2 linked regions of the Notamacropus eugenii genome follow. The protein of the gene in region 1 interacts with the protein of each later gene in a biochemical or structural test. Links are inferred from orthologs where the notes say so. Each region holds a gene or a part of one and is shown on either strand. Other genes may lie near its edges.

What was found.
Region 2: the proteins of HSP90AA1 (region 1) and SUGT1 form a complex in vitro, tested with the Homo sapiens proteins (4 studies listed by BioGRID, with this or other methods). The link is inferred for Notamacropus eugenii from reciprocal best matches to the Homo sapiens genes HSP90AA1 and SUGT1.

Annotation. Positions count from the first base shown.
Region 1 is NC_092872.1:351,894,706-351,902,684, forward strand, and holds the start of HSP90AA1 (heat shock protein HSP 90-alpha), read left to right. Parts: upstream 1-4,333; 5' UTR 4,334-4,843; intron 4,844-5,996; coding exon 5,997-6,158; intron 6,159-6,255; coding exon 6,256-6,622; intron 6,623-7,284; coding exon 7,285-7,418; intron 7,419-7,810; coding exon 7,811-7,979. UniProt on the Homo sapiens protein: Molecular chaperone that promotes the maturation, structural maintenance and proper regulation of specific target proteins involved for instance in cell cycle control and signal transduction.
Region 2 is NC_092877.1:291,035,033-291,042,728, forward strand, and holds the start of SUGT1 (protein SGT1 homolog), read right to left. Parts: upstream 3,224-7,696; 5' UTR 2,971-3,223; coding exon 2,939-2,970; intron 2,835-2,938; coding exon 2,777-2,834; intron 1,707-2,776; exon of another isoform or gene 1,642-1,706; coding exon of another isoform or gene 1,621-1,641; intron 1,040-1,620; exon of another isoform or gene 1,004-1,039; coding exon of another isoform or gene 983-1,003; intron 1-982. UniProt on the Homo sapiens protein: May play a role in ubiquitination and subsequent proteasomal degradation of target proteins.

The DNA.
Region 1 (7,979 bases):
TGTGGCATATGGATATTTATTTATCTCTTGCACATTGGGAGCCACAAGCCTAGAATTCTCAGTGCACGTGCATTGTCAGTATATTTCAGAAAGTCTATTTTTGCTGTTTGTTTAGAACACTGTAGCACTAAGGGTATAGTCACTCAACCCAATGAAGAGCCCTACGTGAAAGGGGAGTGGTTGGTCAGGCAAAACTGCCATGAGTAAGTCACATGATAGCTAAACTGTATAGTTCATCTGCCAACGATATATTAATGTGTGAAGCATTTCTTTCTGATTATGGGTTTAATCTTGCACCAAAAACAGTTTAATAATAAATGATTTTTAAGTAATACCAGCACAAATTTTTTAAAGCTTCACATAATGGTCACACCCCACTTTTTTTGCAAAAATATTTGGCATAAAATCTGCAACAATGATGTGGTAAAATACAGAACATGAAGCAGACTGGAATGTAATAAAACTGGAAAGGGCCAAGTTGTAAAGAACTTTAAATTCTAAACAGAGGGCTTTATATTTTATTCTAGAGATAACTGGGAGCTGCTAGTGCTTGTTTAGGACAGAAAAGTGATCTGATCTGATCTCTGCTTTGCGAAAATCATTTTGGGGGTAGTGGGGAGGATGGATTGAAGGGCGAGACAAGGCAGGAAGATCAGTTAAATTAATACTGCAGTGGTACAATTGAAAGGTCCTAAAGTAGTGTAGTGGTTATGCAAATGGAGAAAAGGAATGAAAGATATTGTAGAGAATGAAATGACAAAATTTGGCAACTTGTTGAATGTGTGGAGTAGGAAAAAGATGGCAATGAGTTTTCAAACCTAGGTGACTCTTAAAAAATACAATAAATTCAGAAGAAAGGTGCAGATAGGGTGATAATAAGTTCTGCTTAGGATATACTGAACTTAAGATGCCTATGGGACATCCAGTTCAAAATGTCCAATGAGCAGTTGGGGATGTGGGACTGGAGAGACTAGGGCCAGATAAACAGATCTAGAAATCATTTGCAAAAGGATGGTAATTGAACTAATGAGAGCTGAAGAGATCACCTAGTGAGAGATTATAAAGAGAAAGGAGGCCAAGACAGACCCTGGGGGAAAACCCATAGTCAGTGGGTGTGACCTGAATGAAGATCCAACCAAAGAGAAGTAGTCTGACTGGTAGATGTAGCTAGTAAGACTAGAATCATGAAAACTCAGACAGGCAAATTCATAAAAGCAAAAGACGATCCCACCCTAGAGGTACATGAGTTTGTCTAATGGGAGAGACAAACAATTACTTACAAACAAGGTATATACTGGATTAATAGGAATAATCAACTAGCAGCTAGATGGCTCAGTGGATGAAATGCAGGGGTCTGGGGTCCAGAAGACCTGATTTCAAATTTGGCTTTAGGCATCACTAGCTGTGTGACCCAGGGCTAGTCACTCAAGGAAAAGACAAACCACACCAATATCTTTACCAAGAAAACCCCACAGAAAGTAGGGTCCATGGGATCATGAAGAGTTAGACATACCTGAACAATTAAAAACAACACTAAAGAGAGGAAAGAATTAAGAGGGAGTGGGAAAGATGCCTATAGAATCCTTTTGGGATTTCAGCTGAGACTTAAAGGAAGCCAAGGGAGACAAGAGGCAGATGTGAGGAAGGAAGGACATTCCAGGCAAGGAGGACAGTCAGTGAAAATGGCCAGAGTCCAGGGATAGAACGTTTTGTTCAAGGAACAGTAAGAAGGCCAGTGTTACAGAGTACATAGTGGAGGAGAAGAAGGGGTGGAAGGGTAAGAGGTAAGGAGGTTGGAAAGGTCAGGGGACATTATGAAGTATTTTCAATGCCAGACAGGATTTTATATTTCATCCTGAAAGTGATAGGGAGTTACTGATGTGCTAGCAAATGTTTAACAACCAAGCTTTCTGAAAATACAAGCTGTAATTTTAATCTGCTTTTTTATAATTTTCTCCATCACTTTCTTAAGTCTAAATAATCAACAAAACAATAAGCCAAGGCCTGAGTGCAATGTTTGCTGATTTCTAAGGTTTAACTGCCTCACTGAAAATTTAACAAGTGGCTTCAGCATTCTCCTGAATCAGGGGTACATGTATGGAATTAGCCTTTGGAGGCAGAAAGGTTACCTCCTCCCTAGAGACTGTAGCGAAGGAGACAGTGGAAAATAATGTCAGCAACTATGCTGGTTGGGCCACAGCCTAATGTGGAAGTATGGGAATATCAGGGAGGAAAGAGGCTGGAACAGACGGCACGGCTGTGAGTCTTATGCTAGGATAATTTTTAAAAAAAAAGGAGGGGTGAGAAAGAGGGATGTACTGAGAGAAGGGGGAGGAGAAAAGTAGAATAGAGAAAAATTTCTCACATAAAACAGGCAAAAGTAAGAGCTTTTATAGGGGAGAGAGAAGGGGGGTGCAATGGCTGAACCTCTCTTGTCAGAGTTGGTTCAAAGAAGGAAGAATATATATACAGTTGTATATAAATGTAACTTATTCAATAGAGAAATAAGAGGAAAAGGGGATAAAAGATATAGGAGAGGGAGATGATAAAAGGGAGGCAAAACAGACTTTTGAGGAGGGACAAGATAGAAAGATAAGGATAAATGGAAGAAAACACGATGGAAGAGATACATAGCACTTGTAACTGTGAATGGGAATGGGATGAGCTAACCCATAATGGATCAGAAAACAGAATCCAACCATTTGTCCGGTTTATGAGAGATTTGAAATGTAAAGGCAACACAAAGTTAAAATAAAGGGCTGGAAGGGAATCTCTTATGCTTTAGCCGAAATAAATGAGGTGGGGTAGCAATCATGATCTCAAAGCAAAAGCCAAATAGACCTAATTAAGAGAAGAAATCTGGGAAACTCCATTTTCCTAAAAGGTACTATAAACAAGGATGTAAAAAAATGACAGCAAGTTTCTTTGATAAAGCTCTCATTTCCCAGACATATAGAGAAGGGAATCAAATGTATAAAATAAGAGCCATCCCCCAATTGATCAATTTTCATAAGAAGAAATCAAAGCTATCTATAGTCTTATAAAAAATGTTCTGAACCGCTATTGATCAGGGAAATGCGAAATAGAACAACTCTGGGGTAGCACTCCCTATCTCTCGGAAAGGACAAGTGATGTGGGAGATGAGGGAAAATAGGCACATGAAGGAGCTGCTGGTGGAGTGCTGAACTGGTCCAACCATCTGGAGCTGTGCCCAGGGAGCTACAAAACTGGGCATCCTCTGATCCGGTGCTAGGTCTGTATCCCAAAAAGATCACAGAGAAGGGAAAAAGCCCTGTCTGCACAGCAGCTCTTTTTGGGGGGGGTCGTCAGGCAGGAAAGGCTGAACAAGTGGTGGCACCGGATTGTGATGGAGCACTGCGGGGCTGCGGGAAATGAGGAGGGGGATGAGTGAGCACTGGGGGAGGATGGCACCGTGGCAGCGATGTTCTGATCCCATCGATCCAACCCCCGAGGCCATGCCGAAGGACTCCCGGTGAGAACATGCCACCCGTCTCCGGAGAGAACGGACGGACGCCGTGCCAACTGAAGCACCCTCCTCTCCCCTTATTTTAGTGGGGCATGGCTAATGCAGAAATGGTTTGCGTGATTTCTCACCAATATTGTTTGCTTATTCAGGGGGTAGAGGAGGGAGAGAATCTGGAGCTCAAAAGAATGTCAAAATAAATAATATTTTTTAAAAATGAAGGATTTTGTATTAAATTTTTTAGACGTGTTGTCTTAGATGCCAGCTGGGCATCCAAGTGGAAACATTCATCCGCTGGCAGTGGAGTCTGGGGGCCGCTGGGGAGGGCCGCTGCACGGAGGCGGTAACTGGAGACGGGGGAGTGGGTCAGATCTCCCGGAGTGTGGAGACTCGGCCTGGTGCAACGCCCGTGTTTACAAGGCCGGGGGCAGGAGGAGGAGGAGAAGGAGGAGGGGGAGGAGGGGGAGGAGGGGGAGGAGGGGGAGGAGCAGGGCCGAAGCTGACCGAGGGATCCTAGTCAGGTAGTTAGAAGACGATGCCGCGGAGCACCCAGACTGAGGGCTTGGGGCGAGTGCGTGCCTTTTCTGGGCCTCAGTTTCCTCGTCTGTAAAAAGGGGGGAGGGGAGGAACACTCGCAGGTCTAACCCTATGAAAGAAAGACGCGTGAGCAGAAGCGGGACAAATCTTGCTGCGTAAGAGCAAGACTGCTCCGACGGCGGGGTGGGGGCGGTCGGTGGCGAAGAAGGCAAGACGATTAGCGGGGAGGCCATGGCAACAGCGCAGGAGCCCGGCGCGGGCCCCGACGCAGGCAGCAGCAGCCCGGGCAGGCCGTTGTGCGCACGCGCCCCTGGCCCCCTCCCCCCGCCCCCCGCGCTTGGCAGCTGTGTCCGCGCGCAATCGGTTGGGGGTTGGGTGAGTGGGCCGCAGAGGAGTGGGGGGGGAGGAGAGGGGAGATGGAAGCACGCTAAACCCGCACCCCCCTCCCCAGCCCAGCTTCCCTTCTCCACCGCCTCCTCCGTAGCCCGCAGTGGGGGAGGAGAGCGAAGAGGGAAAGGAAGCGGGAGGGGTAGAGAGAGAGGAGCAGAGAGAAAGAAAGCAGGGCCTGGGCGGGGGCGGGAGGAGGAGCCTCGCCGCGGGGCGGGGGCCGCGAGCCTGTGCGCACGCGCGAGGGCCGCGGCGGTTGGGGAGGGCTCGAGAACCCTCTTCCGGAAGGTTCCGGAGGCTTCTGGAAAAGGCGCTGCTGAGGCGGGGAGTGCCCGACTCTATATAAGGGGCGGGCGGGGGCGGCCGCGCGCCAGTTTGCTGCTCTCCCGTCTCGCTGCCGGCTGAAGCCTTGGGGCTCCTGCTCTCTCTGCCAAGGTAAGGTTACCCCCCCCCCCCCCCCACCCCGGCGGGCCGCGGCTCCCGCAGCGTGGACCTGGGCGTGGGCTCACCTGCCCTTCCCGCAGCCGCGGCTCGGGGGACCGGGAGGAGGCGGGAAGCTGCCCCGGCTTCGGCGCCCCCGAGGGTGGGGGGGAGGCTCCTCCCTGGCTCCCTCCTTGCCCGAAGGGCCCTGGGGCCAGGTCTTGAGGCGCCCCCCCAATTTTCGTTCCCCCGCCGCTTTTACCCACCCTTCCCGAGAAGTGGACGAGGCGAGCGCCCCTAAAAAACCCGGGACTGGGAGAGGGGAAATAATGATGGGGGTTCGGCCCCCCCCATTCCGAGGAGGGTGCCTGGCGTGGGGGGGTGAGGAGCCCGTGGCGCGCCGGCGCCCCCGCCTGCCCCCGGGGCTGCTCTGCCCGGCGGGCGGGGCACCTGCGTCGGAGCCCGAGGGTGGGGGGGGCTGGGGGTACCCCCAAACTCAAATCTTCGTAAGCGAGTGGGGGATTTGAGACTTTGTGCACTGCCCGTTTTGCCCACCGATCTCCTTGGGCGATGCGTAAGGAGAGGGGCTTGGCGAGGCTAAGAAGAGCTTCGTAGGAGGCGTGCTGTGGGCCTCTTTCGTCGATTTTTTTTTAAACGTTTTCTTTTTCGATTCTAAGCCCCGTATGTTGTAAGCTCTGTGAAATGGGAAACTTAGTTTTTACCTTTTCCTCGCTATCCCCAGCGTCTAATTACCAATGCTTTAAACGTTACTCGTGTTGGGATTGAATAGGAGTGAATTTTTGAGCATCGTTTCAGAGTTCAGCTTTGTGCCTCAGTCCTCTGCCTTTGTAGAGGACGGCTTATCCTCTTAATGAGCTGAGCCTGGTGGCGTTAATCCGGCTACGGAGGTGGTGGTAGTCTCTTCAATAATTAAAGGATGAGAAGCAATTGAATCAGTCGGTGGCCCCGGTTTTTAAAGTGTTCCCCTTGAAGCATGAATTAACTCACATAATGACGTGATTCCAAGTGAATTAGTCTCATTTTTTTTCTACCGTAGCCCTAATTTTAGATCCATTAAATCTGTTAGGAACCCTCACGTAAAAACGGGTTGAAATTTTAAAAATCTTTAATTGATATTGCTTGACTAACTGATAACAATGTTCCATAGATGCCTGAGGAAACGCAGACCCAGGACCAACCCATGGAGGAGGAGGAAGTGGAGACTTTTGCCTTTCAGGCAGAAATTGCTCAGTTGATGTCTTTAATCATTAATACATTCTACTCTAATAAAGAGATCTTTCTGAGAGAGCTGATTTCAAATTCATCTGATGTAAGTTTTTTCTTTGTGTTACTGAAATTGAATTTAATTCCAGTATAGCTGTTTTAATTCATGATTAAAATTTTTAAACGTGTTTTTCTTGGTGTAGGCCCTGGACAAAATCAGGTATGAGAGTCTGACAGATCCAAGTAAACTAGACTCTGGGAAAGAGCTGAACATCAGCATCATTCCAAACAAAGATGATCGCACCCTAACCATTGTAGATACTGGTATTGGAATGACCAAAGCTGATTTAATCAACAATCTTGGTACAATAGCAAAGTCCGGAACCAAAGCTTTTATGGAAGCATTACAGGCTGGTGCAGATATCTCCATGATTGGTCAGTTTGGTGTTGGTTTTTATTCTGCCTATCTGGTGGCTGAGAAGGTGACGGTCATCACCAAACATAACGATGATGAACAGTATGCCTGGGAGTCTTCAGCAGGAGGGTCGTTCACCGTTAGGACTGATGTAGGTATGTGCATAGTGAGACCTCGCTTTTGTACAATTAAAGCATTTTCTATGCAGAGAGGGAGAGGGAAAGTATTTTGGTACAGTGGAAGAGGGAGGGAGTGGAAAGCCCCGTTTGAAACTGACCAGGGGCACAGTAACTACACATTATTCTCAGCTGTGAAATGAGGGCCTTGGTTGAGCTAGGTAGCTTTTGAATTTGCTTCTGGTTCTAGATACACAAGTTCCTATGAATGGTAGCCTGAGAAATAAAACCCAGGGTAGTTTTATAACATGAAAGAATAGGATATAGGCTCAACAAAATTAGTATAATTATTCTTTAAGAACTACCTTGATCTGTATAGTTCTTTATTGTAAGTTCAGCACTACTGCTTGTCATTTTAAACATAAAATGAGAAGGAAACATTTGTTAGAAAATTTGTAGTTAATCTTCAAAGATAAAATTACAATAAATAAGCATTCTGAGCATCACGTTGAATGAATTTCTTGGTTGAATAGAACTATGAGGTATTGTTTCAGAGGTATGGAAAGGATTTTCAAAAAATCATTAGTATTCTCTATTAAATTGGTTTCTTAGTTCCCATTTATGTTTGAGGTTAGAGATTTCAGATGAAATTACAAATCAGAGGAGTCTCCCACATATACTTTTTCCCTTTCCTCTTCTAGGTGAACCTATGGGTCGTGGAACAAAGGTAATTTTGCATTTGAAAGAGGACCAAACTGAGTACTTGGAGGAACGAAGAATAAAGGAAATTGTGAAGAAGCATTCGCAGTTTATTGGCTATCCAATTACACTTTTTGTAAGTTTGAAATAATGCAATTCTGAATTCAGCTCATCAGTTAGGTAATCCTTAAAATTTAGGAAAGGTTGCAAAAGGAGAAGAGGTATTTAGCAAATTTTATATCTTTGTTTTGACAACTGTAAATAGTCTCATTCATATGGTTATAAACAGAACTATTGCAATTTTCACATAATATGGTAGCTCTTAAAGCTTGTATTGGGTTTCGTAGCTTACTATACTGTATGCAGACAACATCTGTAAATGGATCTTGTCCTGTTAGAAAATATTAAATATTTATTATGTAAGTGCTGAGCCACCTTATTTCTGTTGTTGACAGGCTCCCTAAATAAATGCTGTATTCATTTTCATTATAAGTATTTGAAATGACCACTTGTGCTTTCATTTTGCAGGTGGAGAAAGAACGTGATAAAGAAGTCAGTGATGATGAAGCAGAGGAGAAAGAAGAGAAACAGGAGAAGGAAAAAGAAGAAAAGGAGTCTGAGGACAAGCCAGAGATAGAAGATGTTGGCTCCGACGAAGAAGAAGAAAAGAAAGATGGTGACAAGAAGAAAAAGAAGA
Region 2 (7,696 bases), on another chromosome or scaffold:
GCAAGAAAAAATTTTATATGGAAAAACGTAAAATCTTACACTTAGGTTCAAATAATTAACTGCTTTAACAAAAATAAGGCATAGTTAAAGCAATAGTTTATGTGTAAAAACTTTTACTTTTCTGTGGACACTGTCAATTCATTCATTCAATAAAAATGTATTAAGCTCCTACTAAGTGCCAGGAATCATGGTAGGAGTTGGTGATACATAGGAAAAAAACTAAACAATCCATGCTCTCTAAGGGCTTACATTTTATGTGTCAAGAATGTGACTTGGCTGCCAAAAAAAAACAAAAAAATCTTAGATTCCATTAATATTAGCACAATGTCCTAAATAAAGCAAATTACATCTTGCTATATCTTGGTCTGATAAGAAGTATAACTGGAATACTGAAATCAGTATTCAATGTCACATTTTAAAGACATAACAGGGAAAGACATACCAACTGGTGAAAGGTCCAGAAACTTTGTCAGTTAAAAATGAAGACTTATGGAGCCATATTAATAGCTGCATGTCTTTCTCATGGAAGAGCATTCAGACTTGTTCAGTATGGCCCCAAAAGGAAAAAAACCAGGAGCAACACGAAGTTACAAAGAGAGATTTGGCTAGATGTAAGGGAAAACTTCTTAACATTTAAAGCTGAACAAGAGTAGAATAAGCTGCTTTAGAAGACAGTGAGTGCTTCAGGACCAGAGATCTTCCAAGAGAAAAAAAATACTTCACTATTATAGGATGCAGTCAAGTATGTTCAGGGACCAGAGGGACTAGACAACCTCTGAGCTCCTTTCTACATCTGAGATTCTGTGATTTAGATTTACATTTGCAGACTATTCTATGGTAAACATTCATAAGAATTTTACCTCAATCACCAAACATAAAATGAGCTACTGTATCTAAAGGAATTTCTAGTGTTTATGACAGTATAAAAGCATACTTCCTATGAAATCTTCCAGGCTTTTCAGAACAAAAATTAAAAACTTACTGCATAAAGAGTTGGTTTCATAAAGTACTTTCAGTTTATTCCACTGAATATCAACCACTGAAAAAATCAAGCACATACATATATCAGGGATTTCAGTGCACAATATTCACATCTAGTCAAATTTTTTTAAACAGACAAATGTTGAATCTAATATTTAATCAAACTTACTCTATTTTCTTGTAAAACCATTACCGCAAAAAGTACTTTATCATAAACCTTGAAGCACTACAAAACTGTAATCACAGTAATTACTTATAGTAACATAAAGCCTTCATTTATGTACAACTTAATACTAAAAATAATAACCTACAAAACACACAAATAAAGTCAGATCTCAAAAATTGGAGAAATATTAATTGCTCATGGGTAGACCAAGTGAATATGATAAAAATAGCAATCCTGCCTAAATTAATTTGCCATACCAATTAAAGTGCCATACCAATCAACCTACAAAAAAATTACTTTACAGAGATAAAAAAATGACAAAATTTATCTGGGAGAACAAAAGATTAAATATTATCAAGGGAATCAATGAAAAAATAAGTGAAGGTAGCCTAGCAGTAGCAGATCTCAAATTGGATTACAAAGTAGTAATCATTTAAAACATTCTGGTATTGGCTGAGAAATAGCATACATACCTTTTGACCCAGCAACAGCATTACTAGGTCTATATCCCATTGAGATTAAAAGAAAAAGAGGGGAGAAAGAACCTATAGGTACAAAAATATTTACAGCAGCTCTTTTTGTGGTGGCAAAGAACTGGAAATTGAAAAGGTGCCCATCGACTGGGGAATGGCTGAACAAGTTGTAATACATGATTGTGATGGAATACTATTATGCTCTCAGAAATGAGGAGCAGCACGGTTGTGAAAAACCTGAGACGTACATGAACTGATGAAAAGTAAAGTGAGAACCAAAAGAACATTGCACACAGTAACAGCAATATTATGCGATGATCCACTGTGAATGACTTAACTATTCTCAGCACCATAATGATCCTAGACAATCCACCTCCACAAAGAACCTATGGAATCTGAATGTAGATCAAAGCATCCTTTTTTTACTTTATTTTTCTTGGGTTTTTTGGTGTGATCTGTTTCACAACATAGCTAACATGGAAAAATGTTTTGCCTGCCTAACACACGTATAATCTATAAGAAATTACTTGCTTTCTCAAGGAATGGAAAAGGGAAGGAGAGAATTGAAAACTAAAATTAAAAAAAAAATGTTAAAAATTATTTTTACATGAAATGGGAAAAAATATAACGTTTTCCACCGAAAAAGATATCATAACCCATAATTCCCTGAGTACTTGCAGCTTCACAAAGTTCTTTCCTCCCAGTTTTACAGAGGAAGGCAACGTCCCAGAAAAGCGATTTACACAAGCCCCAACACTAGCAACGGGAGGTCTGGATCCCTGAGCAACAGTAACCTGGGAGGAAACGTGACACTCGGAGCCCGCCGGTGACTCGCACAGAGCGCAGACTTCACACCAACCCACGTCCTCCCCACGCCAGGACACTTGGCAGAGATCCCACCTACAGGTTATCTGAACCACAAACGGGAACCCCGGCTGTCCCGTCGGTGGGGACTCCGCTCCATTAGAAAGGTAGGGGAGGACTCTCACAAAGCGGACGAGCACCGCACAAGATACAATCGCGGGGTCCAGGGCGCAGGGCAGGGGCCGGGGGCCCCCCGACTCCGCCGTGGGACAGGACTTTCTCCTGACACCTGTCAGCGGGGGGGGGGGGTCTGAAGCCCCCCGCGGGGAGGGCCGGAGGGGGCTTCTCTCACCTCGGCGGCCGCCTGGGGGTCCTCGTCGATCTGCCCGTCCGACAGGGGCGGGAACAACCTGCCGGGGAGACAATCACGTCAGCGGCGGTGAGCGGAGTGGAGAGCACAGGAGAAGAGGGGGAAGGGGACCAGAACCACCCCCCGGGGCCGGGAGCCACTCACCCCGACGCCGTTGCGGGTCCCGCCGCCGCCATAATTCGCGCTGTCTCCGCCGCCGCCCAGGGGGGAAACTTCTGGAGAAACACCCTGCGAGCTTCCGTCCGGAGGAGCCGAGCTAGCGTGAGGGGAAGAGGGGAACGGAGGAGCAGGCGCGGGGACTGACGGGAAGCCGGAGGACTGGCCCCGCGGGAGCCCCGCCTCCCGCCGTGTTACCAAGGCAACCCCCGGGGCTACCCACGCGGCGGCCTCCTCCTCTCCCCGGCACCGCCCCGCCTCCCTCCTAGCTCCGCCCCCTCCGCTCCGCTACGGCAGCCTAGCTCTCTCCCCTCCCCCGCGATTTTCGGAAAGTCCCTCCTTTAACTGTGGTGAGTATACAAGTCTAGTAGGCCTCTCCCATAGATCAGAAGTCAAAGGCTATAAACCGTAGCCGGAATAAATCAACAGCCGTATGAAAAAAACATTCCAAATTATTACTCTTAGGAGGAGAGCTGAAGATTAAAACTTCCAAGTTTCGGCAGACGCGAGATGCAGGGAGGGGGAGGAGACAAAACAGCCACACTAATCCGTGATTGTGGCCGCTGTGGATTGGCGCAATCGGTAGTAACTTGAATTGATGCTTAAATAAGGGCGAAAGTACACACATCCTTTGATCCCGCTACGCCAGGAGGTCAGACAGGAAAAAGGCACCAAAATATCGGTAGCGATACTTTTCGTGCTGGCAAAAACAAAACAAAACAAAAAACCCTGTTAATATTGAGTTCCTGAAGAATGGGAAAGGCTGAAAAGCTGTGATGCCATTTTATTGTGCCTGTAAGAACTGATGGTATACTGTGAAGAGTGTGGGCGTGGAGTCAGGAAGACATAGGTCTGTATCCTACTTTGGGCAAGACAAGTTAATCAGTAGACATTTGAAACCTACTATGTGCCAAACTTTGTGCTCGTTGCCTACAAGGACCTTCCTTATATGTTCTCTGAGGAAATAGCACACAGCAGGAGCAAATGTAAAATATGCACAAATGAGTATTTTGGAGGAGTGGAGCAAGCAGACCCTTGCAGGAAAGTGACCAATACCAGTTGAGTGGCTACCGGGGTTCGGAAAAGGCCTTTTATGGACGGGGACTTAGCTAAGCCTTGAAGGGAAATAATTCTAAGAGACAGACGTGGAGAGGATGGAGGCGAGGCTTTGAGGACTGGGTGTGGAAATCACGGGGGTCCCAGCACCCCTAAAGCTCAACAGAAAGACCAAAGGGAAGGAGGGAACAAGCATTTATTTCGTAGTCGTTCTGTGACAAGCGCTTTACAAACATCTCATTTGATCCTCACAACAACCCTGGAAGGTAGGTGTTTTTATGACTCCTATTTAACAACTGAGGAAACTGACACAGACGCGGGTTTGCCGAGGGTCACGCTGCTGGCTCGTAAGGGGAGGGAGGGGCCCGTGAGGGGAGGGAGGGGCTCGTGAGGGAGGGAGGGAGGGGCTCGTGAGGGAGGGAGGGGCTCGCGAGGGGAGGGAGGGGCTCGCGAGGGGAGGGAGGGGCTCGGGAGGGAGGGAGGGGCTCGGGAGGGAGGGAGGGGCGGAGGGGGGAATAGAGACAGAGATACAAACGGTGGATGGGCAAGGAGGCAGAGAAATAGACAAGCCGGCAAACCCTTAGACAGAGAAGCAGGCTGACTGGCGGACACAAACACAAGCAGTCAAAGTAGCAGGCAGGAAGGCAGGTACCTGCACACATGCACACACGTGAAGTGCAGCCTTCAGCACAACGTGCTGTTATCAGAGGACACGCGCTACTTCCGGCCTCACAGCCGCCATCCTTACGTCATGGCGCATAGAACGCGCCAGGACGTCGTCTGGCGTGTCGCGTCACCATTCCACGATCTCGCGTTTTCCCGAGCAACAGGCCCGAGAACGACTGTACCTCCGGGACCTGGCGGAGTAGAGGGCGGTGGGAGTTTTGACTTCCGGGTATTAAGCACGAAGCTTCCGGTTTCCTCTGCGCCCTTTCCCTGCTAGTCTTCTCCGAGGTCCAGTTTCCGTTTCTTACCCCGGCTTTCTTCTGTCTCCGACTTTCCAGAGACGTCGGAGCAGCGATTGGCCGATGGCCGATCCTTCGCATTTTAATGGGGGCAAAGGAAACAAAAAAAAAGTAAAGCAGCAGGGGAGGGCGATCTGAATCTTGCTTGGGAGGCAGAGATCCTCGGGTCGAGGCCCGTTTCTGTTTCTTCCTTGGCTGGATTTTATCCCTAAATCGGGGGGACAGTTTTACGATCCCTTCCCGCTCCGAGTCGATCCTAAGATGGGCCGGTGTGCCTGGAGGGTGGCGAGAAGCGTGGGCTTGCGTGGTCTTTTCTCCCCATCCCCCACCGCGGGCACACACCCCGTTACTGGTGGCGTGGAGGTACAGGGGATCTCCAGAGTCCAAGTGAGAGTTTAATCTTTAATTGCCCAAAATGAACGAGGCCGTTTGGAGGGCGCCTTACGACGCGATTAAACTTGCCCAGAACTTTTGGGGACGTGGGGTGGAAACGACCGTCAGCCGCCTGCTGAGTTTCACGTGGAGCCTTAGCGATCACGTGAGCCCAGACTTCCCAAGGAATTGTCAACAGAAGTAAATGCACATTGTTTTCGGTTGGGTCCGTTTCACTGTGTATTTGGGGTAAGGTGTGAATCCCAAGGGAGATTCCGCTCTCCTTAGCCCTGTTTGTCTCTCGGTCCTGTGCTCGCAGCACTAGTGCCCAGTTTTATTTCATTTTGGCTGCAAGGCAGGCCCGTAGGAGCAAAGAGTTATTCTTAAAAACCTTCATAATTGCTAGGTCTTTTTACCCCGCATGCTCAGGCTGCCTGTCAAAGCAGTCCATCTTTTAGTAAATCTAATGGTTCTTCTACTAATCCTTCAACGTGCCTGATGTTTATCGTAGTGTTAATCAGACAATTCTGAAATAAAACCAGTAACTAAACAAGAAAAAAAATACATTTTAACCTATGGATGCTCAAGAGTTGGAATCTGAGAGAGTGTCCAGTTGGGAAATGGCTAAAAAAAATTATGGATGTGATGGAATATTATTTTGCTGAAAGAAATAATGGAGATGAAGATGAGCAAGCAGACTGGCAAACAGATGGCCTTAAACAGCAGACTACTTACTGTTAGGTAAAAAGGTATTTTGCATCATTATAAAAGACACTTGTATTTCACTATCCAGAATCATTGATTTCAGTACCTATTGTAATCATTGTATGAGATATGTAATCCTTTTTATTTGGTATGTTAACAAGGTACTCTGCTTAATAACTTACTGGGTATAAATTTTATATTAGAAACATTCTCCAATGTAAATTAAAAACTATATATCCTGCCCTAAAAACAAACAAGAATACTTGAACTTTTCACATTATTTATTCAATAATAAACCAATTAAAATACAAAAGATTTAGGAATTTCAAAAATTTGTCTTTAAATACAAATTCACTCTGTAATAATATGAATACATAACATTAGGCCTCTAACCAATGATTTTTCATCTATAAAAATCTCTATACTAGGAAATAAATTTGCTGAAAACTTTATTTTTTTCTTGTGAAATTAAATGTACAATATTTACAGCTGAAAAAGTATTCTAAAACTACTCCATCAAAAGCCTGGATATGTATGCATTTATGTGTGTCAGCATGTGCACGTGTATGTATATACACATATATATGTATAAAATTCCCACCCCCCACCCCCCATTCCCATTACATAAAAATCAGGAACAGAAAAGTTTTTATAAGCTATTGACAAGTGAGCCAGATTGACCCAAAACTAAATTTTTTCAATAAAAATTAAGTAGGCACTTAGGAACGGTATCCCTGTTTATTCAGACCACTAGTATATATCATTTAGTAAACCATGGCCATCATTTACTAAATGCCACTCAGTAGTCTAAGGAGTTAAAGAAATCTCCAGGTAAAACATACATATTTGGCAAAAAATGCTGATCAAGAACTACTGTGACATTGGATTTTTTCCTCAGGCATAATTTATTTACAGTAACTTGACGTTTTAAATGGTGTAATAAAAATGTTTAGCATGAGACTATTGAAATCAGAATATTTAGAGCTAGAGTTCAACTTGAAAACATGTTAACAGATAATAGCAATTTTTTCGTCCTATGGGAGTGTGGAAATTACATCATTTGCCAACCGGCCACAGCTTTAAAGAACACCTAATTCCCCAGATGAAGAAATTGAAACAAAGAATGGTTAATTGATGTGCCCAAGGTCACACAGAGTTGAAGTCCAGACTAAAGCACTCTAGCGGAGCCCTGGAATGCCCCTGCAGGTACTACTTGCAAAGCAGCCCAGATTGAAGACTGAGTTTCTCTTTTTTTCTTTACATTTTACATACCAATTCTTTGTGGCACACAATGTTAACAGTGGGAAGCAGATGAGCAACTGAAATCAATTTTAAAAATTCATGAGATAGACTTTATACAAGTGGAATGAACATAGTTTCTATATAAACTCACTGCTGCCTTACATTTAACTAACATATTTACATAGGAAATAAAAACTATCATAACATGGAATCAGAAAGGGGATTTTAAAAAAAAGATAAAAGTGTAGCAATTAAGACAAAGATCTCAAAAGAAAGCCTTCATAATATAAAATGCATGTTCCTTCATGCTTTAATTCTAAAATATGTCCATGCAGCAGGTGCAGCATTTTTTGTTTCTTTTTAACATTTAAGAGAAAAGCACAACTAAGTTATGACTAATAATTGC